Linked DNA regions of Tamandua tetradactyla. The protein of the gene in region 2 interacts with the protein of the main gene of each other region in a pairwise test. Links are inferred from orthologs where the notes say so. Each region holds a gene or a part of one and is shown on either strand. Other genes may lie near its edges.

What was found.
Region 1: the proteins of CEP57L1 (region 2) and RAD51D interact in binary tests that used the Homo sapiens proteins (3 or more experiments, as listed by UniProt). The two-hybrid records come from large-scale screens. The link is inferred for Tamandua tetradactyla from reciprocal best matches to the Homo sapiens genes CEP57L1 and RAD51D.
Region 3: the proteins of CEP57L1 (region 2) and MID2 interact in binary tests that used the Homo sapiens proteins (3 or more experiments, as listed by UniProt). The two-hybrid records come from large-scale screens. The link is inferred for Tamandua tetradactyla from reciprocal best matches to the Homo sapiens genes CEP57L1 and MID2.
Region 4: the proteins of CEP57L1 (region 2) and TXLNB interact in binary tests that used the Homo sapiens proteins (3 or more experiments, as listed by UniProt). The two-hybrid records come from large-scale screens. The link is inferred for Tamandua tetradactyla from reciprocal best matches to the Homo sapiens genes CEP57L1 and TXLNB.

Annotation. Positions count from the first base shown.
Region 1 is NC_135332.1:46,247,387-46,255,084, reverse strand, and holds the start of RAD51D (DNA repair protein RAD51 homolog 4), read right to left. Parts: upstream 3,154-7,698; 5' UTR 2,890-3,153; intron 2,652-2,889; 5' UTR 2,165-2,651; intron 1,855-2,164; exon of another isoform or gene 1,657-1,854; 5' UTR 1,621-1,656; coding exon 1,539-1,620; intron 1,127-1,538; coding exon 1,065-1,126; intron 882-1,064; coding exon 763-881; intron 1-762. Other genes in the region: FNDC8 (fibronectin type III domain-containing protein 8), read left to right, coding at 3,307-3,515, 4,590-4,959, 6,373-6,609, 7,253-7,405. UniProt on the Homo sapiens protein: Involved in the homologous recombination repair (HRR) pathway of double-stranded DNA breaks arising during DNA replication or induced by DNA-damaging agents. Bind to single-stranded DNA (ssDNA) and has DNA-dependent ATPase activity.
Region 2 is NC_135331.1:167,541,720-167,549,521, reverse strand, and holds the start of CEP57L1 (centrosomal protein CEP57L1), read right to left. Parts: upstream 3,173-7,802; 5' UTR 3,023-3,172; coding exon 3,020-3,022; intron 1-3,019. Other genes in the region: SESN1 (sestrin-1), read left to right, coding at 4,647-4,925. UniProt on the Homo sapiens protein: Centrosomal protein which may be required for microtubule attachment to centrosomes.
Region 3 is NC_135353.1:63,688,371-63,696,050, forward strand, and holds the start of MID2 (putative E3 ubiquitin-protein ligase MID2), read right to left. Parts: upstream 3,003-7,680; 5' UTR 2,829-3,002; coding exon 2,825-2,828; intron 1-2,824. UniProt on the Homo sapiens protein: E3 ubiquitin ligase that plays a role in microtubule stabilization. Mediates the 'Lys-48'-linked polyubiquitination of LRRK2 to drive its localization to microtubules and its proteasomal degradation in neurons.
Region 4 is NC_135351.1:39,321,080-39,328,366, reverse strand, and holds the start of TXLNB (beta-taxilin), read left to right. Parts: upstream 1-4,120; 5' UTR 4,121-4,302; intron 4,303-6,491; 5' UTR 6,492-6,505; coding exon 6,506-6,947; intron 6,948-7,287. UniProt on the Homo sapiens protein: Promotes motor nerve regeneration. May be involved in intracellular vesicle traffic.

The DNA.
Region 1 (7,698 bases), on a different chromosome or scaffold from region 2:
GCTCACTTGGCCACAAAATGGCTCTCATCTTCCAACTCTTTCTGAATCCAAACAACATGGGAGAGTGTAATGTCTCCCTTAGGTAAGTGCTCTCATTTCCTACTGCTGCAGAGGAGGGTGAAAGATCAAGTTCTGGGTCAAACACCCCAGATTGTGAGCCCAACCACTGCCCTTGGGTTAGACCCAAGTGGGGCTAATATTTACTAACTTGTAGGTTAGCAACAGAGGAGGTTGCATATAGCCTATAGTCAAAGCCTGCCACACATTAGACACTCAGCAAATGTTAGTCCTGCCATGTTCTCACTTGTTCTACCCTTAAGTGAAATGGAAGACAGGGCCAGACAGAAACTAATCTGCTGAGCAACAATGAAATATCGACATCTTGGGTTATAGGACAGTGGCTCTCAACCAAGGGGTGATTCTGTGCCCCCTACCCCCAGGGGACATTTGGTAATGTCAGGAGATATTTCTGACTGTCTTTATTGGAAGGAGTGCTACTGATATCCAGGGTATAAAAACCAGGGATGCTGCTGAACATTCAACAATGCACAATACAGCCCCCATACAAAATAATTATCTGGCCCAAAATGTCAATAGTACCCAGGTTGTGAAACCACAATTCTTGACCACTTTCCTTCCCATCTGCCCATGCTGTCCTCACTACTGCTAAGAAATAAACAAGCAAACATCCTGTTTTCTTCTAGACTCAAAGATCAAAAGCTGAGCTGAGAGGCAGCTTCGTTCCCAAATACACATACACACCTTCCAATGCCGGTGGAGAGGATGGCAGTGGAGGTCTTCAGCTCCTCATAGAGATCAGCACCATTGAAGGGGAAAGCCGAGAACTGAGCCAGCAGCACCCGCCTCAAGGCAACCAGGGCCTGCCAAAGAGGGGGGGGGGGTCCACTCAGGATCTGGCCAGGGACCCTTCAATCCAGAGCAGCCCACAATTTCTCAGCAATGAACCACCCACAGGAGGGGTCATCCCGGGGTCTCATGCCCATCTCTGCATAGGGATGGACTCTAAAAACACCCACATTTGGAGATGGGGACCATTAGCTCACCTTATAAGATACAGCGCATTTCTGGGCTACCTCCTCCAGGTCTGAAGAAACCAGGTCCACCACTGGAAAAAAAAAAAAAAAACAGGTGTAGTTTGTTTTATTGGCAGGAAGGAGAGTCTGGACCTTCCCACTTGGCTTTTCCTCATCTAATAAAAAGGGGTAACAATTCACTCTCAAAGCAGGTTGTCTGAGGAGGCTTAGCTGCAGTAACAGGTGGCGCTGTGTCTGGCCCGTTGTAGGGGTTCTACCTTTCTTCAGACAGGGCAAGAAGGCTGATGAGGGGAATGGCCCTCCAGAAACGTGACGGAAGCGCCCCGCAGCTATGCCAGGGCAGAGATGACCAGGCCCGGTGGGTCTGCCCCGACTACGGATGGAGCGCATGGGCCCCTGGCATGAACACACTTCCACACCCCTCCCCGGTGCACACTCACACTCGGCTCCCTGGCATGCGCATTAACGCGCACAGGTGGTCACCTGTCTTGATTCCGCGGCTCTTCAGAAGCTGGACCATCTCCGGGGTGAGGCCGGGGCACAGCCCGGCCCTGAGCACGCCCATGTCCGCTGTAGGCCTGGGACAGCACGAGTTTCGGGGCTTGGAGGGAGCGGGAAAGAGGGGGTGGGCCTGTCGGGTGGGGAAGCGCGAGGCCCTCCCCAGACGCTCCCCGCCGCTGCTTTCTGAAAAGGGCTGTGGCGGGGCGGGTTCTGGAAGTAGGAGGCGGGGCGGAGGCCCGGGTAGGGGGACAGCCCGCCCTTTCGCGACCCGGTGGGGACTCCCGCGCGCAGCGCTCGCCCGCCCCGGACGCTCTGCGCGGCCGCTTCCTGCTTCCAGGTTCGCGCACCCGGCAAGGGCCTGGCCTGCAGCACCATCTGCTGGCCGCGGGGACAGAACCGCGGCCTCCGCCACCCTGGGCGGTTGGCGCGGAGATCATCCGGCCCCGCGGGCTCGGCACCCCTCTCCACCGCCACCTTAGTATCACATACTCATAGAAGTTCACGACGTCCTGTGCACAGCAGGCCACACGTCGCCCAGCATGCACAACACGTGCTCTACGGCCGGATTCTACCTTCCCAAGTCCCTCCCCTAACACACACCCACAAACCTTTCAGTGAGCTATGTGCTAGCTTCGGTTTCAACGCTGAGGACAATCCCCTACCCTCAGGGAGCTTACATTTTAGTGAAGGCGAGAAAAAAAAATGAAAAGGAATCTAATTAATTAATTTAGTTACATATTATATGACTGATACTAAGAGAGTGCCCTAGCTTCTCTGAATTTTCCAAATTTCTTTTTTATGAAAAAAGAAAACCTAAATATATAAAATAAAAAATATGATTTGGTATTTTTAAGTGTCCACTACATTGGTTTAATTGCTGAAAGAAATAAGATTTTACATCTGTGAACACCTTTACTCTTCACCACCATCCTATGCAAAGTCAGTGTCTTTTCACTATTGGAATCTATCCTTCCCTTCCTTCAAAGCTGTTCTCTGTTTCCGAACGTAAAGTGGTTTTCTTAAGAGTAAAGATGCGTGGCTGATCTCTGCATCCCTCTGCAGCAACAGCCACTGCCACTCCATACATGAAGACACCTAGGGGAGAGAGGGACACATTTAAAATTCTATAATGCTAGAATAATAGATATTCTATTGTAGCATAATAGACCATGGTTCACTTGGTCATACGTGAGCCATGAGCCTTCCGGGCTTTTTCCGTATGCCTCCACGCCTGGACGTGGTGGAGCCCGCTGCCTAGGATTTCAGGGTGTAGCACCTCACCATCTACAGATAAAGCCTCCCACCTGCAGAGTCTTGTTCCAGCATTACCTACCTCCCAGGGCACTGCTGCCTTTCTCCACACCCATTTTCCTTTCTCTACTATCCTTCTACACAGTATGCGCTGAAGGACATGGGTGTTAAGAATCCTGAGACCTTCAGAGAAGGGCAGGTCTGCTGCAACCATGTAGAGCTGGCAGGGTCATAAGAGCTCATGCAGTCCAGCCCCTCACTCTACTCCACTCCTCATGCTGGCCCTTGGTCTGGCCTCACAGTGAGCTGGGCAGCAGCAACCTCCAGGTAAGGCAAGACTAACCCTTAATTGTTACACTCTCCAATGATTATGAAGTCAGCTCATTGCACCCCTGTCCCACCCAAACTAAGAGCCGGTCTGCTGCACCCACAGTTTCTCTCTGCTTCCTGTCAGCTTGGTTGTCCTGCATGGTGACAACCGTGGTCTCAAATAAACCAGATGGCATCACAGGCGCTCTGCAAACTGGGAGATGGGGAAGAGGCCGTGCTGAGACAGGAAAACCTCAACGTTTTGAATGCTCTCGATCAAATGCAGAAGCCCTTTCCAAACCCCAAGTCTATGAACCAGACTGTCACTATCAAAGGACTCCCACTTTCCTCCGGGGGCAGTTTGGTTAACTTCTTGGAGGAAAAGAACAACACTTCACAGTAAGACACAAGTCTGGTCCCTTCCCTTCTTCCCTTCCTCCCAAGGCTGGAACTGGGGGATGGGAGGAGTGCCTTGAAGAAAACTTAATTTCTTGACCTGTCTCAACCAAGTCACTGGACTCCCAGGGGAAAGGATGTATGTGGGGTTGAGCTGTGTATGTATTCCAGAGCCCTTGATCAGCTCTTGAGGGCACTTGGACCCCTACCTCCAGGGGGCCTTCCTGGATTAGTGAAGGGTCTGTTGACTGCACTTGTTATCCTGCTTTGCCTGAATGAGTTCCTAACTCCCATGGCGCCTCTCCCTCAATCCTCCCTCGGTACCAGCCTGATTATGTCCTCCAAGAGCCTGCCTTCCCTCACTGTGAAATTTAGTCTTTCTCCTTGGTGATTCTGGGTTTCTGTTATCTCATTTCACAAAACTCTGAGAGCACCTGCAAGGTGTTTGGCCCAGTGTTAACTCCTGAATGCAGATCTGGAAAGCAAAGTCCTGGCCTCCAAGGAGTTCCCGGTCTGGTGGGGGTGGGGGTAGAATCAGGTAGGAAAATGAATGTTACAGCATAGTCTGGTAGAGTGCCTTGAGAAAACAGAAGCTGCAGCTTAGTATAGCTTGAGGGCTGTGTGCAGTGAAGGGAAGCTTCTGGGAAGAGGTGATAGTTGAGCTGAATCTCCAAGGAAGGGAAGAACTTAGCCAGTGAAGGGATGGTAGTGCAAGGTGATGTGCGCTGACGGAACTACTTGTGGGCATATGTTTCGTGGGTGTGTGACCTGTGTAGTCACACATGGCCCCACACTTAGAAGAGTCCCGTGCTTAGCTTAATGCTCTGCTGTCACTGTCTCAAAATTCTTAATTTTTAAATCAGGAGTCACAGACTTTTAAATTTTGCACTGGGCTCCACAAACTATGTAGCTGGTCCTGATTATATGAGAGGCTGAGAGCATGGTGTCCCTTCCCTAAGAGAACTGTAGTAAGAAGTTCTGGCTAAAATGGAGGGTGCTTGTAGGAATTTTTATGGTATAATGGGAGAGAAGGAGAGCCTCCTTCATCTGGCTCACCTGTCCCCCCGCCCGCTCCAGGAAGCCGACGCCAGCGGAGGATTCCGAATGCAGCTCCGACGAAACCAGCATCTCCTCCATCTCATCCACCTTGTTGAACCCCATCAAACTAGCCGTGACCCAGCTGAACAGCAGCTTCTTTGCAGGGATACCGGAGGGAGAGCTGAATAAACTCAGCTTAACCACGCTCGCCAAGAGTGAAGATAAGGGGGACCTGGCCCTCTGTCCCCACAAATATAAGTCCCAAGTGGTCCCTGGGGGCCTGTTGGACCTTGACAACCCTGAGCTGGACACAGACACCTCCTCAACGCTCTCTGAATCCTCTGTGACTGTGGACGTGCCAGATGCACCCTTCATCTGTGAACACACCGTCAGTGATACCACGGCTGTGGTGAGTTCCCCATGCTCGTGAGTTCAGCAAAGCCTTACTTGCTGCCCACTCTGTGCAAGCACTGAGTTGAGCTCTGTGGGAAGCATGAAGATGCCAAGACCTGCAACCTGACCTCAAGTTCGTGGTTTTAGTAAGGGAAAGAGGGCAGATCTCTAAAGAATTCCAAGATAGAAAGGGCTCAGTGCTGTAGGAAAAGGACAAATTAAATATCACTAGGAATTCAGAGGGAAAAAAACATTACTTCCAGCTGCAGGAATATGCTTCGTGGGTTTTGGTAACATTTGAGCTGAATTTCAGGATTTAAACACGTAGAGAGCAAGGAGGAAAGGCATCCCACGTGATCCCGCAATGCTAGCTCACAGGTGCCAAAGCATGGGAGGAAATGAGTAGCCTCAGTCGATCCCAGGTCCTAATCCAATACTTCTCAGTTTCAGGTGCCTATAGACCACCTGACCATGTTGCTAAAACTGAGATTCCTGGGCTTTGTCTCCAGAGATTCGGATTCAGGTGTGGGGTGGGGCCTGAAAATTTGCATTTCTAACAAATCCCCCAGAGCCTAGAATATGGGAAGGGGAGGAGAGGGGAGTAGAAGGGAACAGTTGGTCTGGTCATTTTACAGAGGCCCTCCAATGTTAGGCACCGTATAGATTTTTCTGTAGCAATACGTAACATCTGAAAGCTCTGTATTTTAGGAAGATAAAACATGAAGTTTCATTGTTGGATGGCCAGGAGCAAGCAGGGTTTTCTCAAAACGTGATCCCTGGCATCACCATCACATGGCAACGTGCTAGAAATTCAAGCTCTCTGTTTCACCGTGAGCCTTCAGATTCAGAAACTGTGGGGGTGGGGGGCAGCAATTTGCATTTTAACTAGTCCTCTAGGGTATTCTGATACACTAGAGTATGAGAACCACTAGCCTAGATTGAGGAAAAACTGGAAATGGGGAGACCAGAGACAATAGGCCCAAAAATCTGCAGTGTAACTAACTTTCCACAATCCTTGGCCAGGTTTGAGAATCACTGTCGTAAAGTGTGTGAGCTCTGGAGCTATGGGTTTGAATCTTAACTCTGCTACCTGCTATGACTCTTAGCCAGTTACTTGCCCTCTTGGATCTGTAACCCCATGTTCAGTGAGTGGCATACATAGATGATCTCCAAGATCCCCCTCAACTGACCCAGAATCTAAGGTCTAGAAACATGGAATGAGGGAACACCCTCGTGCGGGGGCTGGCCAGGGAGAGCAGCACATCCTGGTGGGAAGGTGGTCCCACATTCAGCATTGGAATGCCTCCCAACTACCAGTGAACATGCCTCAGTTCTGGCAGGAGATGGAAGTGGGGGCACTGACACCCACTTAGGGAAGCGGCTAGGGAAGGCCAGGTCTGAGGAAGCTTCGGGGGCTCTCTTCCCCTAGATTTCCTGGACCTATGCCTTGGGCAAGCAGCAGGTCAGTTTCTACCAGGTCCTGTTGCAGGAGATGGTCAAGAAAAGTGATGATGAGCTACCCAAGCCAAAGAATCACCCGTGGATCTTCAACAAAATCTTGGGCACCACCGTCAAGCTGATGGAGCTGAAGCCTAACACTAGTTACTGCCTCACCGTCCGCGCAGCCAACACAGCTGGAGTGGGGAAGTGGTGCAAGCCCTATAAAGTAAGCCCTGGGAGAAAAGGGGGGCCCCAGGGATGAGGGAGTAAAGTCTGAAATCAGAGCTGGGGCTTTGAGGGTGGGCAAAACCCCAGACCGCTCCCCTGATTCATCTCCCTGTGAGCTTATTCTCCTGGGAGAATGGCAGCAATTCCAGGTTTCTTTCTTCTGGGAGGTGTAAGGATTAAGCCTCACTGGGGTCCACTAAGAATGCAAACTAATGTATACATCAGCATCACTGTTATGCCCACCATCCAAAACCACTGGCTTATGGAGTCCACAACTCAGTACCAGTAATTCTGAGTGGACCAGAAGTTAAGTGCATTGAGGCAAACAGAGCAAGGACAAGAGGCTAAAGGAGAATGAAGGAAATAACCTGTGTGGGTGGAGGACAGTGGGGAGACAGGCTTGAGTTTTGACAGCCCTTTGGTAAAAACATCACACAACTGGGAAGCACAGGTTTGACGCATACCTATGTCTATTATCAGCTGGGTGACCTTGAGCAAATCAAGTCCCATCTTTGGACCTATTTGGTGTGTCAATGAATACGTTGGATGAGGCTATTTAAGATCCTACTTAGTGGACAGAAACAGAGAAAGTGAGCCAGGGTAGGTCATGGAAGGAATTCTGAGGGCTTTTCTTATTTCAGTTTGCAACCATGGCCACTGACTTCAACAGCTTCCCTGAGAATAATCCTATCCAGGTCACCGTGCAACGGAGGGAACCCCAGAGGAAAACCATCTCCATCGGGCTTGAGGACATGCGGAGGCTAGAGGATCTTGAGTATCTATTTCCCTACTAACAGGGAAGGCTCCAGGAAACCCCCTAACTACCTCCAGCTCTGGCCCAGGGCCCTCAGGAACCAGAACCATGCCAGGGGACTACTACCACTGCCAGTCCAGGGCCTGGCAGCAGTGGCACTTTATCTCCAACCCTGGGCTGGGGCCAAGACTAGATGGGAGCCCCATTTATCTGGAGACATCTTGGATAAGGTCAAGCCCAGCCACTGCCCACAGCTGCTAGGCTCCCTCTTACCCCAGATCTGGGCTGGGCCCAGGTCCCTCATTAAAGAACTGCAGACCATCCAGCACCCCT
Region 2 (7,802 bases):
AGTCTCTTTTTATGGCCTTCACTGTTACCACCCTGATCCACTAACATCTCTCACGGGGATTATTACTTTAACTTCCTAATCAGTCTTTCTGCTACTACTCTTGCTCTCTAATGGTCTATGCTCAATATAATTTAAAAGATATGATCCTTTAAAAAATGTCAGACCCCGCCTGCATCTGCTCAGAACCCTCCAATTGCTTCTTCATATCAATAAAAAAAGCCAAAGTCTTTTCAATCACCTACATGATCTAGCTCTACCCTCTTCCACTCTGACCTCATGCTGCTTTTATCCCCTGACTCACTATACCCCAGCCAGAGTAAGCCTCCTTTTTTAAATGTGCAGGCATGGTCCCTCACAGGCCTTGTTCCTGAATATTCTCCCCCCACCCCACCCACCAAGGAATCTTAATGGCTTAATCCTCCATCCCCTACAGAGATCCCTACAAATGTCTCCTTCCTGATGAAGTCATCTGTGACCACCATATATAAAAGTGAACCCTGCCCCCACAACTTGGCACCATTCCCCATCCCAGTTTTATTTTTCTCCACTGCATCTGTCTTCATTTGATGTACTAAATATTTTACTTATTTATTTATCGTCTATCTCTCCTTAGCAGAATGCAAGCTCTATAACAGGAGGATGGGGGGACTTGTATGTGTACTCAGTGTTATATCCTGTTACATAGTTGGCACTCAACAATTATGTTGAATAAACGAATGGGTGAAAGGGAATGTGGTGAGAACCAGTGACTGAAGAAAGGTCTCTCTCTACGGCTGAAGCACAGGGAAAGAGTTAGAGAATGATACTAAGTGAAGCTGGAGAAGTGGAAAGGCAATCAGATGATGCTGGGCTTTAAAGGTTATGTTAAGGAGTTTTGTTTTTATTTTAAGAGCAATGGGATGCATTTTGAAAAGATCATTCTGGCTGCTGTATGGAGAACTAATGGAGGAGGCCCAGAGTGAATAATGACTATTGCAGTGGTCTTGACAAGAGATTATAGCAGTTTAGAATAGGACTGTACTGATGTAGATAAAGGGAAACAGATGGGTTGGAGAGGTATTTGGGATTTAAGATTGATAACACTTGGTAATATTTTGGCTATAGAGGTACAAGAACAGAAAGGAATCAAGAATGAGGGTTAGCTTTCAAAATTTCACAAGTAGACAGACAGTAGTATACTGAGACAGAACACTGGAAGAGAACCAGGTAACTGTGAATTTGGTTTTAGGCATATTGAGTTTGAGGTGCTTTTGAGATATACAAGAAGAAACAGCAGAGAGATCATTGGATATATGAAGGCTGAAAGATAAAGTCGATGGAGCTGTACCTTTGGGAGTCATCCACAAATAGGTAGTGGTGAAGCCATGGGTATGGCTGAGATCATATTCAGCTACAGAGTAAAAAGGGGACTTAGACTTTGTGGGCTGGGTAAAGAAGGATAAGCCCACAACAGAGAGAGAAATGGGCTTTTTTATTTTGTAAATCACATTCATAAGAGCAGTTATTCCCACCTGTGCTGATTTGAATCTGTTATAAAAAAAAAAAAGACTACATTCTTTTAATTTATTCTTGTGGGTGCAGACCTACTATGGGTGAAGCTTGTTTTGATTAGGCTATTTCAATTGAGATGTAATCCAGTCCATTCAAGGTAGGTCTTAATCCTTTACTAAAAAGTCTTTTAAGTGAGCTTATGGAGAGAGAATTTAGAAAGAAAACATCCAGGGAGAAGCTAAGAAAGAAAATATCCCTGGAGAAGCTAAGAGACAGAAATACCCTGGGAGAAATAAGCAAGGACCCACAGAAACCCCGACACATTTTGGAGAGAAGGACCAGCAGACCTTACCATATGTCTTCCCATGTAACAGAGGAAACCCTAATGCCAGCAGCCTCGGACGTCAACAGCCTTTCCCCAAAGAAGGTATCTTTCTCTTGATGCATTAATTCGCACACTTTCATGTCCTTAGAACTACAAATTTGTGACTTAATAAATCCCCACTGAAAAAGCCAAGCCCTTTTTGATATACTGCATTCCAGCAGCTTTAGCAAACCCAAACACCATCTTTACTCAGATCCAAACCATTAGCATTAAAATGTAGCAAAACTTGCCAAATTAGACCAATTCATTGGTGGTATAAATCAGTTCAATGATATAGCTTTGGTTTTGTTGCAGTTTCCTGTAAGTATCAAATCTCTCTCACCCTGGGCCTCAGCATTTGCTCTTTGTTATTTTGATCCCCAATTACCTTGGGAAGGAGACTTTCTTGCCTTCCAAGATGGGGCTAGGTGACCTTACTAGCATCCTCAACAAGAGCACTATCATAATAGTACTGAAATTGTACGCTTAACTATTTTTTTTTTTGGGGGGGGGGTGCCTGACCCGGAAACCGAACCCGGGTCTCCTGCATGGAAGACAAGCATTCTACCAAAGAACCACCCGTGCATCCTAACCATTGGTTTTACTAACTAGACAGGGGCCGTGTCTTTTTCACAGCTGTACACTATGCCCAGCAAGACTAAAGTCTTACACATTCTGCAACGTGAAGAGATAAAATCTAGTCTGATTATCATTATTACCCTCCAATCCTCGATTTTTCTCAAAAAGAATGACTTTTAAAACAAACAATTATTCGTAAACAAATAATTGAACTTTAAAGATACTAATTTCAGAGGTCTTTAGAGTTTTTCATATGGTATCCTTAAAGTCTGCATAAGTCATATATAACAACACTAGGAATTCTTTTTCCTTTAGTCCCAGGCAAAACGTTATTTGACAAATCGCTTTCAACGCCCTGCTTGGGATGTGCTTTGACCAAACAGAGCCCAGTCTATCCCGGTACAGATGCAAACAAGGTGCAATTGCACTAGAATTCCTAATCCATCTCGCGTGTGTGCACCTGCAAGGGCGAAAACCGGCGACAGCGCGGACCTGCAGCACCCGTTTCCAAGCTTCCCCCTTGACTCCCAAAGAAGGCCACTCCCTCCGACCCCCAACATCGCGACCCCCAAATCCGAGCCTCACCATACCACGGGATATGGGCACCTGGACTAGCCCTTCCCACTCAGGTCATCAGAAAAAGCCCCCGCACTTGAGGGGGGGTGCTCTAGATGATCTCGTCTTCAAGATCCCAGAAGAAAAGAAGGAAGAAAAAGTCCTGTCAAAAAAAGGTAGCCAACGGACCTCACCAAGCTGGCGCTTTCAATCAACTCGCGCCTCAGCTAACGGTTGGTTCACAGGCCGCAGCAGGCAACGTCGCGGTGGCCTTTGGGACTTGTAGTTTCTGTCGCAAACAGACCGCTCCGGCAGCATCAAAACTATATTTCCCAGAAGCCAATGCGAGAACGTCCTAGCTACTTAAATCTGGGGTTTGGCGTAACAGAGAGGCCGTCACCATTTTTAGGCTAGTCTTAATTTAGCCTCAGGATTTTCCTTTCTTTGCCGTGCGTATTGTTTTTAACAATTTCAGCGAACTTCTACTCCTTCTTACTCTTCTTTCCCCTTCTCCACTCCAGAACTCCAAATGCCTGGAAACGGAAAACGACACCCCCACACTCGCACCCACAAAATATTAAATGCCTCTGGAGGTGCATGCGCCGTCTTCGCCATTGCGCATGCGTAGCAGCCGGCAGCAGTTGGCCCCACCTCGCGCAGACTCAGGGTCTGGAGGTAGCCTGCCGGAGGGCGGGGCTTTTTCCAATGGCTTTGCCTGCGCGGGTCTCGTCCGTCTGGGCGGGGAAGAGAGCGCGGGGGCAGGGGCGGCTCCTGGTTTGTGCCGGGCGGAGAAAGGGGAGGGGCTGGGGGTGAGGACCCCATCTCCCCTCCCTGCTCCCGCCTCTGGGCCGATCCCCACCGATGGGGCTGGGCGTAGGGGCGGACTCTGCGCCTCCGGCCCTACAGTTCAGCCTGCTCAGCGGCCCATCCCGACGCTCGGGGATTGCCAGGGCCGCCCAGTACCCGTCTGGCTTGGCGGACTCTGGCCGAGGACACAGGACTCGGAGAAGCAGCGGCATTTTTCCGGGCATTCGAATCGGCTGGACGTGAGTGCTGTGCTCTAACAGTGCTGCCGCCTTCGCCCAGACGGCGGCTGCTGGAGGTTACCGCCCCCAGGGAGCGCCCGGGTTCTTGGCCGCGGCGGCCAGTGGGCCAGGGTTCGGCGAGCCGTCCCGCCGGCACCCAGCTGGCCTCTGCGGCGCAGGGAGGAGCTGCGGAGGGCGGGGACGCTCCCGAGAACGCGGTGACTGCTCAGGCTAAAAAACCCGAATGGTTGGAGAGCGTTCCCTGTTACCGGCCTTTTGGGGCAGAGCACGGATTTGACAACTCCACAACGTGAGGATATCCGCTGACCGGGCGAGACGGAGAACACTTCCTCCAGGCGCCGTGTCCAGCAAAGCCAGCGCTGTAGGGTTACAACTTTCCAACTTTTTTTTCTCTCCAGTCTCTGACCAGAAGACTGCCCCTTCTTGCAAAAGGAGAGAATTGAAAGCATCAATGTAAGAGTTCTGATTCCAAATGTTACTCAAACGTGTTTTTTCATGACGACTCGATTTCTCTGATTTTATTCTTATAGTTCTCATTTTAAAAATACAGTGCCTTGGGGGACATGGTGAAAGATAATTGAAGACTGGAAAGGAAAAACTCCCAAGTTGTCATGGCCGAAGGAGAGAGTGAAGTGAGATGGGATGGTCTGTGCAGTAGAGATTCAAGTACTAGAGAGACAGCACTGGAAAGCATTAGACAAATCATTTTGAGGAAAACCGAGTATCTTCGTTCGTTAAAAGACACACCTTCTCGTCCATCAGACGGTCTTTCAAATGCTGTTTCTTTGGATGGATTGAATAAGCTTCTTGCTCATCTGCTCATGCTTTCTATGAGGTGTCCTTTTAAAGATGTACGAGAGAAAAGTGAGTTTATTCTGAAGAGCGTCCAGGTAAGAAAGAATATTAAAAGTACAACTATGTCTATGTACAGTGAAATTTTTATTTATTTTATTATTCACTTTGTATTGCTTCCAATAGATTGTCATATTATGAATTCATATTATAAATTCACTCCATGTCTTAAGTTTAGAATGATCTGTAAAACACTGATTTGGGGGTTTAAATTGAACAAAATGAACTAAAGTAAAAATAGTTTCCAAATATAAATAAACGAAGTATTCTTTTTTTAGACAGTTTTAGACAGCAACTCCATTCCTTCTGGAAAAAAAATAGGTGAAAGTTACAGTTAATAACAAGACTTGCTTTTCCTTATAGTCACTTTTATGTTGTGAACTGTTAGCTTTTTACATTGTTGCAAACTATGTTCTATGTGAAAAGTTTTACATTCAAAAACATATCAAATTATAAAGGATATTAAATGTTTCCTTCTTTGCCTGTTCAAGATAATTGGTGAAACAAATTTTCTCTTGTTCTCTAAAGACAAAGCAAAAGAAACAAAAACAAAAAATCTAGGGTGTGTTCTCTAAATGTAAATTTATTAAAATTATAAAATCCTTTGTTATAAAAAAAAAAGCAGACATCTTCAAGTTAAAAAGTTGGATCCAGGTAGAGTATATAGTGAAAACATTTTTATGGTAAATAATTCAACCATCTTCTGTGTTACCTAGAGTTGTTTCTTTTCTATTTCACATACCTATTTATGAGTGCAGCAGGTTAAAAATATTATCATTTTCCCCCTGTTTTATACATAATCAATTTATCCTGACTTATTGAAAGGTTATTAGATGTTGGTTGTTTTTAGATATTAAGATTCTTCATTGACACTCTTCATGTATGACTGTCAGTCTACACATTATTCAGTCCACACGTGTTGCTCAAAGTCATAGTATGAGAAGTTTTAAAAATTTATAATTTACTTGGCAATATTTGTAAGCTGAGATTGACAGTTTTTCTATACTCTCTTGATCTTGGTTTAAGGCATCAGGAAAACAATTCCATAACATGAAAAGACTGTTTAAGATCTTGGGCTATTTCTTCTCAACACTTTGAAAACAACCATTATAATTCATTTAACCATAGTTACCAGGGAGAAATTAATTTTTAAGATACCTGAAGTTTACTTGCTCAAGCATCAGAAGTTATTTCTCTATCTCTTACACTGTAGTGACCATAACAACCTTTTTGTTCGTAATGGTGTCATCATTATTATGCACATCAAGTAGTGTTGTACAGTGGAGGGTAGAGTGTATAGGACTGTATAACACTGCACTAACAGATACTCCCTGATATGCTTTTTTTTTAAATTTTTGTGTCCAATTTTTATAGTTTTTTCTGTCCCTCCCTTTGCTATCCATATACTTCACTTTGGTCTCTTCCTGAACCTTTCATTTTGCTGCTTGTTTATATTAGACTGGGAAACCAGATGACCAATTTTATTGAAAGTTATATTGAAAATAAAAGTAAGCAGCCTCAAAGGGAGTACGCAGTAAAAGTACTGTGATATATTGGTAAGTAAATGGGTACTGGAGTCAGACAGATCTGGGTTCAGATTCTGCTCTTTTAATGTATTCCATAATCTTGAACAACTTATTTGATCTTTCTTAGCTTGAATTTCCACATCCATAAAAAGAGAGCTGCTTTGAGAATTAAATGAGATATAAAGTGTCCCAGTAAATAGTGTATGCTCATCTCCCCTTTCTTAGATGAAATACATGGACTATATAATATATATTTCAAGACCCATCCATCCTTCTAAAGGATTCTAGAATCTCCTCTACTGTGAAGATTTCTCATAGCTTTATACTGTCTTTTTCGTCTGGGCACCTATTGCATCTTATTCCTACCACATATATAACAGGTACTTTACATATACTGTGCTATAACCACATGCTTATGTGTCTGTCTCGCCCACCAGATTGTAATTTGTCAAGAGTATAGGCTGGGACCTGGAAGCTACTAAGTAAATATCTAATGGATAGACATTTGTATTGGGCTTCTCTCTGTATCTTATCAGTCTGAATAGATGAAGTTACCAGATTAATGATATAACCACCCTTATATCATTCATTCACTCACTCAACACTTGTTTATTGACCCTCTAATGAATGCCATTCTAAGAAATGGGGATGAGTGAACAATTTTCACATTCTATTGAAGAAAGACAGGCCATGAAGATCTAAACAAATAAAAAATTTAATTTTTTATTAAAAAATTAAAGGTTTTTCTGAGGGGATGACATTTAAGCAGAAACTTGATGAGTGAATAAATATCCAGTCCTGTACAATTTGAGATTTGTGAGGGGGACATTCCAGATATAGGGAGTGCTACGTATGACGCCTCATGGTAAGAGAGAGCATATGAGTTCTAGGAAGTGAAAGTAATGCAAAATGATTGGAGCATACAGTTTCAGGAGAGTGTGAATGTTTAAGAGCTCATGCTCTGGAGCCAGACAGATCTAGATTCAAATCTTGCCTCCAATACTTTATTGGCTTTACCACCTTGGACAAATTGCACAATATCCCCTTGACTGAGTTTCCTCATTTGCAAAATGATGGTGACGCTAATAGTTCTTGCCTCACAATACTGCTATGAGAATAAAATGTAATGTTTGCAAGGCATAGCATAGCTGCTAGCAGTTAAGAAATCTAAGTAAGCATTAGGTATTCTAAGCAGGAGTCTGATCTCAGAGGGTGTTGTAGGCCATGTTTAGGGTTTTGGACTTTATCCTAGGAACAACAGGAAGCCACTTAAGAATTTTGACCAAGATGATGATATTCATCATTTGAGAAGCAATGTGAAGAATGGATTTCAAGGGCCAAGAGTAGGTGTGCAGTAACAGGAGGTTATTCCACTAGTTGAGGCATGAG
Region 3 (7,680 bases), on a different chromosome or scaffold from region 2:
TTCACCTCTTTTTAAAAGCTCTGTGTCCCTTTTGGGAAAGAGGAAACTGGAGCACAGAGGGATGGGGTGAAAAGATGACATTCTCTCCTCTCTACCAAGCCAGTGAGGTTTGCTGAGTGGTAAAGACATACTCCTTCTGTAGTTTCCTTCTCAATTGTTATAGCGTCAGCAGATTTTATGGGAGGAGGGATGAGAGAATGAACAGGCTCACTACCCAGAGCAATTTTTGGAGACAATTATGAGACTCCACCAGCTCTGTGTTAGGATCTGCAAGTCAGAGCAAGTTGCCCTTCACTTAGAGGAGGGATTAACTAAACCAATTTCATTTAAATCAATTTGTACTGTTCAGATGATATGTTCATGAAACAACCAAGTCATTGATTTGTGGCAACACTTCCCAGAGGAGGCCTTGCAAGGTACAATATAATAGATGAGAATTCTAGTAGTCATGGAAGTAAATGGGAAGGAAACAATCACCCCTTCATATGGCTAGCCTCTACCCCTACCCTCCATAGTTCCTCCCTTTCCCAATCCTGGAGCTGCAAGTATGAAAGTAGGCCTCAAATAAGCAAGAAGCCAAAACATTGGGCCAAGCCTGGGGCCTCAGTGCAATCAGCACAGGACTCTGCACATTGTAGGTGCTTAATAAATATTGACTCACTGTTGCTAGATACTAACTTATATAGCCATGTCTAAAATTACTTATGCCATTTTTTTTCAGCAGAATTTAAGATAACTTAAAATAATCACCATTACTCTGTACACCTAGTTTTAGTTTTCATTCAGTTGTATGCTTACTGAAAAAAAAAAACAGACTTAAACATAACTACAATCAGAGATTTGGCTCTCAGGGTAGCTGCTATGACAAGCTAAAGTTTCCAGTAAACTAGAGTTTCTGATATTCCTAGTCAATCCACCATTCCAATACAAGGTAAATGAAGTACTTTCTTTGAAAAGTATAATGTTGAGGGTTTATAGAAACCTTTCATCTTCAAAGGACCAAGTCAAGACTCACAATACCCCAGCACACAACTTTATGCCTTTTACACAAGTGCACCGACTATGAAAGAAAGGTCATAGGAATGCCCTAAAGCCATAAGGTCAATGCAACATCAGATTTGGGATGAATTCTCTGATATACTTGGCTCCTAGGCCTGTATTTCAACCACATAAATCAACTTGTGAAGAACAATCAGGAGAAGCCTAATTCATATTATATATCTCTGTTAATGCCAGAGACCCAGGTTCAATCCCTGGAGCCTGTCCAGGCCAAAAAAAAATAGAAAATAAAAATGAAAAAATATATCTCTGTTAAGTGATTGGTCAGGAATACATATATATATATATATATATATATATATATATATATATATCTTTTATATATATATAATAAAATAGCAAAAGTTCTTCCCTCCTCAGAACAGTGATAAGTGAAGAGCAAGTGGAAAGGGGGATATAGTGTTGGGAGAGGTACCCAGCTGGAGTGGAGCAGCAGTGCTTTCAGGGCAGAAAAGAAGTAGGGAGAGGGATTTCCAATTCAGACACCACCACCCCCTTCTATTGGAGCATTGCCAGAGAACTGATTAGAGAACTAGAAGAGGACTCTGTGGGGTTAAAGGCAGCCCTCATGGGTCCAATTTGAGAATCAGACGAATATCAACCAACACACAGCACTTGTCTATTTACACAGCTTCCAATATATTTCTTTTTTAAGGGTCTCTCCCTTTTGTTTTAACCTCAGAAACATAAAACCGTTACTACCCCAACGTCAGAAATACTGAAAATGGCAAAGAGATTGAGAAGCAAAAGGCTGCACAGCTGGGAGGTTACTAGAGTGCACAGGTTGATGGGGAAAGGCTGAGGGGTGGGGTGGGAGCATATGGGAGATTTGAAGTGGGTGGGTAGATGTGCGACAACGTGGAAAGAAGGTGAGTGAGCGTGGTGGGTAGGGGAGTGTGGAAGAGGGAAAGCGAACAACCCAGCGACCATAGAATCCCAATTTCCTGCTCTGAGAAGAAATGCCTCCGAAAAATAATTTCGCGCTGCACACGAAGGGCTAAGTAACCTAAACCTTATCATCAACAAATAATGTTTCTGTAAATCTACTCCACCGCTATTTACTTAATTCTTAGGAGACAGGAATGTTAAAACCCCACGTCTCCCCAGTCAGTCGCAGTCTGTCTTGCGGACATATGTAAGTTTTTCCTCTCCCCGGTAAAGCTGGTTTCACAGCTAGGCCAGAAATAATTAGCCACCCATACAGAGACTAGATGATTGCTCCTCTGGCAGAAGAGGGATTAAGTTTCGCCGGGCCTTCCCACCACCAGGATGTCCTCAGCATTTCGGACTGCTGCGGCAGCCACCGCGGGGCAACCAGCTGTCTGAGGGACGCCGCCGGGGCCGAGGAGGCTGCAGACAGCGGGAGCGTGGGAAGGCGGCTCTGCCCTTTCCCAGACTCGCGCCCAGGCGCCGGAGGCTGCGGGATGGCGGGGTGGGGGCGCTTCACTGCCCGCTCCGGGCCGATCCGGCTGCGCGGGAGGCCTCGGGCCGCCCCCACCCGCACCCGGGAGTGCAAACTCCAGTCCCAGGAGAGCAAGGGCAGGAGCCTGGGCCCCAGCGGTGCAACGGAGAGTCAGGGCCGGGCCGGGGCCGCGCCGCTGCCGTGAGCCTCGCGGGCCGGGTCACCCCGCCCCGCCGAGCATCCGAGCCCTCAGCCCGGGCCGGGCCGGGCCACCGCGGCACCTGAGGCGCGCCAAGAGCCCGGGAGCTCTGCGCAGGCGGCGGCGCTCCACCCCTGGGGCCGCGGCGAGGGGGCGCATTTTACCCATAGCTTTGCCAGGTGCCAGCCATCTCCTCGGCGCCACTGAGGGCGCTCGGCGCTCGCCTCCCTCCGCAGCGAGCTGGCTCCGGCTTCGGCCCAAGTCCCTGGCCGCTGCCGCCACTGCTCTAGGCCGCCGCCCGCCTTCGCCGCCTTCGCCAATGCCGCCGCCGCTGCCGCGCAGCAGCCGAGATCCGCCCGCCCCGCGCGCCCCGCCCGTGACAGCACGGCGGCCGCGACGCTGCAGCGGTTGGGTCTCCCAAGCCAAAGTTAAAGAGTTTTCGCCCCCTCAGCCCACAGGCAGCACCATGACACCACGGCAGCACCACACTGTCATTTCCGCCGCCGCAGAGGGAAAAAAAAAGGCAATCCCTTCGAAAAGGGGGGTAGAGTGCGGGCAAACAGGGTTGGGCTGACGCCCGGAGGGAGGTCTGGGAAGAACCTGGCAGGAGGGCCGCTCAGCCACCTTCCCGGGCTCACCTTCCTCCGCCCCTGCCGCTCCCAGCTTCCCCAGCCCCTCCTCTGGAGGCACGTTTACATGTTTTCTCCCCTGGCAGGAGTGACCGGAGAAACCTGAGCAAGGAAAGGCAGCGGGGTGGGTGGGGTTCGGGTTACTACTGTACCTACCAGCTGATTCCAGCAGCCTTTTCTCCAGCGCCCTGTCATCTTGAAGGAAGACACACCGAGAGGGGCCCAAGCAGGCGCGTGTGCGTGTGTGTGTGTGTGTGTGTGTGTGTGTGTGTGTGTGTGTGTGTATGAGAGAGAGAGAGAGAGAGAGAGAAAGCGCAGAATGTGTGAGGAATATAAAAAGAAGACTATGGCCAAACTCTTCTCCTACCCACCACCACCCTGGACCCACAAACACCCAGATCAGAACAAGAAAAAGGATGTTGCAATAGGCATTAAGAAGAAAGTGCCTGGGTCCAACCGCATAGGTTCTCGGGTGAAGCCACCCTTTGCAAAGTTAACTATAGAGTAAAACAAAAATAGTGGAGGAGACAGAAAAGGGCAGACAATTGAAGGAAACCCAACCCCTCTTTCTTTTTACAAAGGGAGAATGGCTGTTTTATTGGCCTTGGGCAGAAGTTGTGGGGATGGATTAAAGAAAGCCACCAGAGCAAATAAAATAAAGTAGGGTTGCTTTTTGTTTGTGAGTGTTTTTTTTTTTGCACCTTCAAATCCTTGACCATCAAAACAAGAGTTTACAAGGGGACAGATGCCAGCTCTTCAAGTATTCAATATCCTTGATAAGCTAATTGGCCCACCTGGAAGCCAGGGCATCCCGTTGGTCTGGAGTCAGATTCTCTACTATCATTGGCTCAGCTGCCTCACTCACGGCATAGATGGAAGAGGGAAAGAGTAGGAGGCCACAAAAAACTTGGTCTTAACATGGGAGAAAATGGAGAAAGAAAGGAGCAAATGAGAGTTAATATGCACAAACACACACACACACAGAGACTTCTCATTACTATGCATGGGAACAAGTCCAGAAAAATTAACTTAGCTCTGGGTGTATCCATCACGGAACCAATAGTAATCAGCCAACACCCCTGTTAAACAATGTACTAGAGAGTACTGAGGTGGAAACAAGACAAAAATCACAGCCAAGCTATCCTGATGAAAGTCTGGCCCAAGAGAAGTAAAAGTTGAGTCAGACTAAAGCAAAAAATGCTTACTTGGTACAAAATTTATATTTTGACTACTGCAGTTCCTAATATAACTTATGTGAACAACTTAATTGAACACCATAAGTACATAGAACCTTGAGTAGGGCATAAGATTTTGTAGGTTTGTCCAGAGTGATGCCCCAATAAATCCCAGAGTGATTTGAACACTGAGTAAAAAGTATTTTCAAAGTCCCCTTGGAGGAATGGTGAGAAAGGAGGAAAATTCAACTTCCCCAAGTGGAGAGTTCTTGATATTCTCACAAGCAGTGGGGAAAACCAAAGCAATAGGCTGAGCCCCCAATCTTGGGGTTTGTTCATATGAAACTTAACCCCAAATAGGAAAAGCCAAGCCTACTTAAAATTAGGCCTAAGAGTCACCCTCAAGAAAACCTCTTTCGTTGGTCAGATGTGGCCTCTCTCTCCAGTCAACATAACAAGCAAACTCACGGCCCTTCCCTTGGCTACATGGGACATGACTCCCAGGGGTGTGGACCTTCTTGGCAACGTGGGGCAGAAATCCTAAAATGAGCGGAGACTCAGCATCAAGGGATTGAGAAAACCTTCTTGACCAAAAAGGGGGAAGAGTGAAATGAGACAAAATAAAGTGTCAATGGCTGAGAGATTCCAAACAGAGTCTATGCATTAAATAGATATCACCTTGTTAGTCAAGATGTAATGGAGAGGCTGGAGGGAACTGCCTGAAAATGTAGAGTTGTGTTCCAGTAGCCATGTTTCTTGAAGATGATTGTATAATGATATAGCTTTCACAATGTGACTGTGTGATTGTGAAAACCTTGTGTCTGATGCTCCTTTTATCTACCTTATCAACAGATAAGTAAAATATACAGAATAAAAATGAATAATTTTTATTTTCATTAGGGGGAACAAATGTTAAAATAAATTTAGCAGATTGAAATGCTAGTGATCAATGATATAGCTTTCACAATGTGACTGTGTGATTGTGAAAACCTTGTGTCTGATGCTCCTTTTATCTACCTTATCAACAGATGAGTAAAACATATGGAATAAAAATAAATAATAGGGGGAACAAATGTTAAAATAAGTTTAGATTGAAATGCTAGTGATCAGTGAAAAGGAGGGGTAAGGGGTATGGTATGTATGAATTTTTTCTGTTGTCTTTTTATTTCTTTTTCTGAATCAATGTAAATGTTCTAAGAAATGATCATGATGATGAATATGCAACTATGTGATGATACTGTGAATTATGAATATATATTTTAAATGGAATGATCATAAGTTAAGAATGTTTGTGTTTCTTTGTTATATATTTTTAAAAACTTAAAAATTAATAAAAGATTTTTAAAAAGAATGTGTTTGTTTCTTGTTATATATATGTTTATATTTGTGTTCTAGTTTGCTAGCTGCCAGAATGCAATATACCAGAAATGGGATGGCTTTTTAAAAAGGGGAATTTAAAAAGTTACAAGTTTACAGTTCTGAGGCCATGAAAATGCCCCAATTAAAGCAAGTCTATAGACATGTCCAATCCAAGGCATCCAGGGAAAGATACCTTGATTCAAAAAGGCCAATGAAATTCAGGGTTTCTCTCTCAAATGGAAGGGGATATGGCAAACATGGTCATGGTTTCTCTCCCATCTGGAAAGGCACATGGCAAGCATGGCATCATCTGCTAGCTTCCTCCGCAGGTTTCCTGGTTCATGAAGCTCCCCATGAGGCATTTTTCTTCTTCATCTCCAAAAGTTGCTGGCTGGTGGACTCTCTGCTTTGTGGTTCTGTGGTATTTTGCTGTGGCTTTCCTGTGGCTGTCATCATTCTCTGCTCTCTCAGAATCTCCTCTTTTATAGGATTCCAGTAAATTACTCAAGACCCACATAGAATGGGTGGAGACACATCTCCATCTAATCAAGTTTAATACCCACAGTTGATTGAGTTACATCTCCATGGAGATGACCTAATCAAGTTTCCAACCTATAGTACTGAATAGGGATTAGAAGAAACCATTGTTCTCACAAGATTGATTAGGATTAAGACATGGCTTTTCTAGGGTACATAAATCCTTTCAAATCTGCACAATATGTATATATAAAACAATCTCTGAGATACTGTTAAATGAAAAAAGGAAAGTGCAGATCTATGCATGGTTTGCTACTAGTGTAAAAAGAAAGGGGGGTAGATATGTCCCTGTATACTTGTATATGCATAGACTCTTCTACAAAGGTACTTAAGAAACTGAATGACTGGTTGCCTGGGGGATCAAGCATAGGAGGGAGAAATACTTTACATTATATATGTCCTTTTGTATTGTTTGAATTTTTTTATACTGTGCATGTATTACCTTTTCAAAAAATTAAATAGAAGAAGGAGATATATAGAACAAATACAGATTATCCTATCTATGCAAAAATATTCTTATATGTGCAGGTAAATGCATAGAAAATAACCTGGGGGCACACTATAAACAGTGTGAGCCTGGAATTGGGGTGGGTGTTGAGAGGTCTTTCACTTTTTATTCAATATATTTTGTAACCATTTGAATATTCTACAATAAGAATTTATTCATGTATCCCTTTTGTAGTTTTTTTAAAATCAAGAAAAAGGTATTTCTCAAAAAAAAATGTTGAACCCAAAGTTGAGTCAGAAGTCAATTGATTCCTGTGAATTATTTTTCAACCTCATTTGATCTGATCTCCCACAGAAAGGTGGTGAATTTTCTAAAATATAAAGAAGTTACAGCTTTTCTTATGGACAATACTCACCACCACAGCCACCACTCCCCTCCATATACACACACAAGAAAGCTAGATAGCTCCTGGCAGAACTGGTAGTAGAGAAGATTTGCTTTTAATGGCTTTTATTGTCCTATAGAAACCACCCTACCCCTCACTTTTTAGCAGTCTCCCCTCCATCTGGGCTTCCACTGCTTTCAAGCAAGTCTCGGCTTACCAGAGCTCTATACTGATACCCTAACTCCATCTACTTTCCCCAGGCAACAATCTATATTCGGAACCTTTCCTTTCCCTCTTCAAAATTTACCTGCTTCTGTGTCCCTTTCACACAGGATCTTACTAAGTGGTTAAGCAATTCAATCAACTAATGTGAACTAAGATGCTTATAGTTCATTCATTCCCCCTTAGAAAATATTCAGATTTTAACAGAGGCCTTCAATGTAGTAAATCAAAGGAATGACTAATAGTATAGGGGGGGTGGAAGGGG
Region 4 (7,287 bases), on a different chromosome or scaffold from region 2:
GAATGCACCCCTGGGGTGGATGTTAACATGTTCCCCTGTCTTCTGGGTGTCCTGAGAATTGGTAGTTAGATCCAGAGGCTTGACTGGATTTGGGGGTGATTCTGGAGAAAGACAGCATCATCGGGAGAGGTGTGCTATTCCACCAGGAGGACATAAAGCCTCTGGCCACTGTCTTTAGGACGTTAGCCCCCTTCGATGCTCAGGGCCTACACCTACTCATTCATAAGTGCTCAGAATGTGCTACTCCGATTCTATCCTCACACCCTCATTTATTCGTGGGACAACGTCTGAAAAGGGAGAGATGTTACCCCGTTTGGCGGGGTGAATAGTAGCAAACCCCCACCCCTTAAAACACTCAAGTTCACCTGGAACGTCGTTTGGAATTAGAGTCTTTGCAGGTATAATTAGGTATGGTGCGGTCATACTGGATTAGAGTAGACCCCAAACCAGTGACTGGTGTCTCTACAAGGAGGAAGACACGTGAGAACAACCAGGCACAACCAATCATCCTCGTACAGGAAAGGCAGGATTGTACCTGATTCTTCCCCTGGATCTACCAGTTTTCAAAGTAATGAGGTAGTTCACCAACTCCTCCAACAATGAGCATTTTATAAATTTATCATTATGAACCTTATGAATTAAATTTAAGCATCTATGATTTCTTCTTTTTAAAATTTAACCCGTAGGCATTTTTAATTTTCCTGAATTGACTTTGTCCAAAAACAGTTGCTCACCATTGGCAGAAGTTGTTGTCACTGTTCTTAGCTGCAAAGGGCTTGCGTGGAACAGGAACTAAGACGAGATCACGAAGAGGCCCTGGCTTTTGGCAAGTGGGTCACTGGTCTCCCACAAGGACACATTTCCTTAAGTTGATGGGGGGCAGATGCAGAGGTTTGCAGTGATGGAAAATAGAGGCAAATGGCATCAATGCTCCTTATATAATTTTGGTGATGAAGTGAATAAGCAATAATGTTTAGTGTTTCTATGTGCAAGGGTCATTTATTCCTCATGACAACCTTAAAAAGGGGGGTATTAATTTCTCAGAGCTGCTATAACAAAAGTACCACTAACTGGTGACTTAAAACAACAGAAATTTATTGGCTCACATTTCTGGAGGCCGGAAATCCTAAATCAAGGTGTTAACAGGGCCATGTTCCCTCTGAGACCTCCAAAGAGGATGCTTTCATTGCCTCTTCCTGGTTTCAGGTGGCCCCAGGCATTGCTTGGCTTGCGGCAGCTACATCCAGTCCACCTCCACCTTTACATGGTTGTCTTCGCACTTGGGTCTTGTGTGTCTCTTCTCCCTTCTTCTAAGGACACAAGTTATTGAGGTATGGCTGGAATCAGGATGGTGGCTGGCAGAGCAAAGGGCAAATATCCAGAAGCATCAGGCCTCAAGGGGAAAGAACAGCCTGAGAAGAACAGCCATAAACGGCATCTGGTGGAGCCAACCGACCCTGCCGGAGGGATCATCTACCATCATGCATCCACAGATGCGGGGAAAGGAGGGGCAGTGGAATAGTTAATAAACATTAAAAAGGAACAAAAGTGTGTGAAAGGTCGGGGCCTCTCTCTTCTCATCCCTCTTTTCTGGTGAGCTTGCCCACATGTCCTCTCACCCACATTCTCAGTAAATGTCCTACCTGCTTGCTCTATGCTATGCTGTGCCCTTGGGTCCTTCCTCGCAGCAAAGCCATGAACCTAGGAAGCTGAGCCCTGCTACAGTATTGGATTTCGGGCCCACCCCACTCCAGTAGGACTCATGTCAATTATTTCCATCTGCAATGACCTGATTTCCACACAAGATTGCAGCCACAGTTTCTGAGGGTTCAACATGTCTTTTTAGGGAATACAGTTCAACCCATCACAGGAGGAGCTAACTTCATCCCTGTTTGCTGGATGGCAAAGATGAGACACACAGGTTAAGTCACCCGCGCTGGTCCACACAGCTGGTACATGGTCAAAGCACACTCCGAACCCAGGCCGCTGGGCTGCTCTGTCCGCCGGCCCGACACTGCAGGGCAACCACACACAAGACAGGAATTTAAAAGGAAGGGATTTCTACATGTGCTTTCTCTTCAAGATAAAGGAGATTTAATCCTATTTGTGGATAAAGCCAAGAGGCCAGGAAAAGAGAATAATTGAGTAATGGAATTTAGAGGGAAAAAGGATTGGGCAAACTGCTAAGAGAATAGGATTAAGAACATAATTCTCATCCCAACTGCTTGAAGCAACAGGATGCTCCCCAGAACCCACTGTCTTGGCTCTTGTGTCCTATGCTGTCTAGTATGGGTGGGTGCTGCTGGCTGCATCTGGCCACCCCACCCCCACCCCCGTCCAAGGCATGCTTAGGTGAAATTGTGATAAACTGTGTATGTGAAATACATACCAGAGTTCAAAGACTTAGCACCAAAAAAAAAAAAAAACAGAATGTAAGATATAATAATGATGTTTATATTAATTATATGTTAAGATGAATATTTTTAAAATTATATTGGGTTAAACAAAATATTATGAATAATTTCAGCTGTGTCTGTTAACCTTTTTTAAATGTAGCTACTAAAAAAACATGAAATGACGTAGCTGGCCCCTGTCCACGACTGGTATTGTGTTTCACTTGGACGGAGCAACTCTAGATGACACACATCCACCCTGGGTCTACAAGACGGTGCCAAGTGGACACTGCCCCTCCCGCCTCACCTCCTGCTGTAGGCTCAGTCCTCTCCTTCTTCCTCGGGGCTTCTGAGCAGTCACTTCAGGTCCAGGGCACGGGAGGGAGTGGAGAAGGGGGCACGGAGAAGGGGAAAGCGCCCGCCCCTCTCGATAAACAGAACTTCCTACTGATGAGATTGGCCACCTCTTGGGATGGCTCCAGTGCGCTATTTCTCTGCAGTATTCTTTCCCTTTTCCTCCCCTTCTCCAAGAACCGTTTCTGTTCTCCCAGGGTGTTTGGACCAGCAAGAAAGGGGCAGAGAAGAGTGGACTGCATTTGAGAGTGGACTGCATTCGTTTCACTTTGCTGCTATAACAATTAATCCCAAACTCTGTGGCTTAAAATAACACATATCTGAGATTCCACTGTTCTGGCGGTCAGACCTAGGGCACGTTTCCTTGGTTTGGAGTCAGGGTGTGGACAGGGCTGGGTTCCTGCTGGAGCCTCGGTCCCTTGCCTCGTCCAGCTTCTGGAGGCTTCCTGCACGCCATGCCTTGAGTCCCACCCTTAACACCCGTTGTCACCTCTGGCCTCCTCCCTGGTCCCCTCTTTCACCTGGAAGGAGCCCTATGGTTACATCAGGTCCAATCTGGGTGAGTCAGGAGACTCCCCTGTTTAACGTAATCAATCCACGAACTCCCTTGGTCTGCACAAGGCAGCACGGTCACGGGCTCAGGGATTTGGACATGGGCCTCCCGGGACCAGCATCCTCGCTTCCACGGGGGTGTCGCTGCCTCCGGCCCGGCTGGTCAGGCTCTGCCTCAGACCAGTGCAGACACGTGATCCAGGAACCACGGGATGGGGTCTGGAGAGAGGCATTTGATGGGGAGTGGGGAGGAGGGTCTTTCTGTGAGGAGGACTGAGGAGGACACCCCCGGGAGGAGCTGCTGCGGGAGGAGGGACACGCAGGCAGCAAGTGACAGGCGAGCAGTTCCCTGAGTGCGGCCTGCGGCCGGAGGCCACGCGGATCACCACCGGGGCTCCAACCATGGGCCAGCCCTCCAAACACCAAGTAAACTTTTATTACAAATGTTGCCAAGAAACCAGACAATAACATCAGAAATAAAGTGCTCCCAGCACTGGACCCGAACTAGATTGGACTCCTTCTTGTTAGGCCGCTGTTCCCCTTTTTCCAGAATTCCTGTAAGAAACTCGGCACTAATTAGACTTGCCACACTGGAAGTATACCAAGAAATAAGAAAAACTGCTCTCCGCGCCCAAGATCAGCAATGGTGAGAAGCTGCGCCTGCAAACGGGCTGCTGCCGACTCACGGTTTACATTTTTTAAAAGGACAAATCGTGGAGGAGGGTCTGATAAGCTCTCCCAGCTGCTGAACTCCTGCCGGAGCTTGGGTGCCCTTGTCTCTTGCTGTGTCACGCCGCCTTCCCTCCCCTGCCGGCTCTGGCCCACTGCCTGTGTGTGTGCGTGTGTGTGTGTGTGCGCGCGCACTGGCGTGTTTGTCTATGTGGTCTGTTTCCCCTGTGAGAACCCGGCCTGCCTGTCTCCTGCTGTCCCTGCTGCTCTGACTTGTTCTTTGCTGCCTCTTTCCTCTCCTCCCTTCTCTCTTTGCTCAGCTCCTAGCCTGCCGGTGAGTATGACAACCACCCCCCGAGGCCTACGAGAAGAGGTAGGGTGCGGTTTGTGGTGTTGAAAACATGCAACTTTGAGATCGAAGTGAGCTGTTGAAGAACTTTCCACTGCTTTGTTTGTAAGTGAAATGCGTTGCTTAGGAAGGAGTGCGTAGAACCTGCTGAGACCTCTAGTGCAAGCACAGGATTCTCTCTTTCAGAGGAGGGAGGACAATAAAGTTTATACAAAATAAAATTTAGAAATAGCTTTTGCTGAAAAACTAGCGAGGACAGAAAGGGACAGTTTAAAAAGGAACAGAGCTCCTTGGACTTTTTCTTCCCCTCTTGTTGATTTATCTGGAGGCTGCTCCTAGGAACTGAGCTGTCCTGTGGCTCACAAGGACGCTGTCATTCTGCTTTAAAGTGCATGTGGAGCGGGAATTGGAAGGATAGCCATGGAATTAAGTATAAAAACCATCGGTGGTCAGGGCATCTGATAAATACAGCGCAAATCGAATGCAGAGAACTTGTATCTGCACTAACCATACTAACACGCCTTTCAGTTGGCTTTAAACCCATCACTTTGAAGTTCGGTCTACTTTCAATTTGATTTCATCCTGAAATAGCTTCCCTAACACTTTACAACCGACATATGAACGGAAACCCTTAAATGTTTACTGTTTTCAGATTGATTTTAAAAAGTGTTCTCTTCCCTTGGTTTCTGAGGATGACATGCTAAATACCATGATGCCTTCCACAAGAGCTTAAAATAACCTCTGGCTGGACAGCAGGTGCCACATGCCCCCGCCTTGAGCTGGGGGCGGGGGCTGGGAGCGAAGTTAAATATAGCCGGTGTGCACAGCACGTAGGGGGCAGGCCATGTGGCCGCTGACGGCGTGGCCCGGTGACGAAGCTGACCGATGGAGTGGGTGGAAGGAAGGGCTTCCTTCCAAGTGAATGAGAGCTGGGGGGGGGGGGGGGGGGCCTCATGGGAGTCTCCATTCATGCTGGTGTCCGCGAGGCCCGGGAGAGGGAGTGGGGCGGTCACGCTGGCGTTTCCTCTCCCTGCCAGCGCGGCAGCACACCTGGGCGCCAGGAGGAACCTGCCAGGTTTCTACGCTGTGAATTAACAGGCTCACTGTGAAACACCCTTTACAAGCGGAAAGCTATTCTATCTGTTTCTCTAAACATCCTGGCTGAAAGGCCCAAGCTAAAGCTCTTGCAAACTCAGAAATGGAGACCGCCAGAAACCCTGGAATCTTTTGCCTCATCACGTCCCTCTCGGACTATTGCCCGGATTATATCTGGATTTTTTTTCCCCAATTCATCCTTTCCCTGAATACTGGCCACTGCTATTTCTTAAAAATAAATAAGTTATTCTGGTGTTTCTTGACTGAGAAGAGAAAGCTGGGATCTGTTTTATCCTAAAGGAAAGTGGGTTTTAATGTTGGAACAAATGTGTATTGAGTAAATTCAAGAATTATCATGAGCACCACCGTGTAGTCACACTGGGCAGTCCGTTTGTTTATACCTGCTCTCACTGTCTTATTCTAGAAATGATGCTAGTGTGAACCTCAGAAAATGTGTTTTACTAAATGACAATTACATGTTACTCATCTGGGAAAAAGAAAACATTGGAAAAGCAAGAAAGTACCTCCTGCTTTCACCATTTTTGGTGTAAGCATTTACACCAAAATATTCATATTGATCACATCTTGAGTTATGGATTAAAATAGAGTTTAGGGATATTGTTGTAATGGATACTTTTAGTAGACTCAACAGCTCTTGCATTAACTGTTTTAACTTTGAAAGAAAACTAATACCAATTTAAATTTCAACCTTTAAGTGTATTCAACCATGTGCTTCCAACGATTTTGAACCTACATAGAATTGTATGAGAGAATGATAGCCACTAACTGACTATTCTAAGCAAAATGTCAAACAGGGCCATGCAAAGGAAATAATAGCATGAATTACTCTTTTCATGACAATAATAGGGGACACAAGTGGAATGCAAAGACCAAAACAAAAGTATGCTAGTAGTATGACTCAATTTGGAGAAATGACTTCCACCTGTTACTACCTTACTAACTAGCATCAGTGGCTTATGAAGGGGCGTTCAGTCAATGTTAGAAACCCATTTGGGGTTGTCCTTACCATTTACATACAGCTGAGTTAACTACCTTAACCTAACTGTGCTCATCTCTAGGCACTGCTCCCAATATGGAGACTGGTCAACCCATACTACCCTCAGTGGAACCGCAGTCAACAGCCCCAGGGGATGGAGAGGAGAGTTCTTCATTGCCACCGAGGCTAAATGGCCTGGAGAAGCCAGATGGCCAGGATTCCTCACCCCCAATCCAAGAACCAGAGAAAGGGGCAAGTGTGCAGCCTGAAAAGGCAGCTCATGATATCTCCGAAGAGTTGAATCGACAACTGGAAGACATTATAAGCACATACGGGTCCGCCGCCAGCACAACGGGGCAGGAGGGCCCTGGCACAACCAAAGAGAGGGCAGAATCCCTTGACCACGAGGAAAGGGACTATGAAGAGACCATGGAAGAGACTGAAAGGGAGCCCACAGCTTCTGGAGAGCCACCTGCAGCCAAAGAGTCTGTCGGCAATAAAGAGCAAAAATCGGAAAAGAAAATCCTAAAGGGATTAGGCAAGTCATTTGTCCTACTCTGTGGCTTTTCTCTCTTTGAATCTGTCCTAAAATGGGGCACTTCCTCTGACCTTTACTAAAAGCACATTTAGATAGATATGTCTCTCATTGGTTGGTTATAACAGCCTCCTTCAGGGATGCCCTGCATCTCCTCTTGCCATACCTGCCCTAGCCCCTCCCCCTCCTAGGGCTCCGAGAACACAAGTGGACTTCCTATTGCTGTTTGGAAGATGACCAAAATCCTGAACATGGTCTTTAAGGCCCTAACCAGGACCTCCAACTTTACCCCACATCACTGTGCCTCATGACCCCCATACTGAACATGCCACCTCTATCCTCC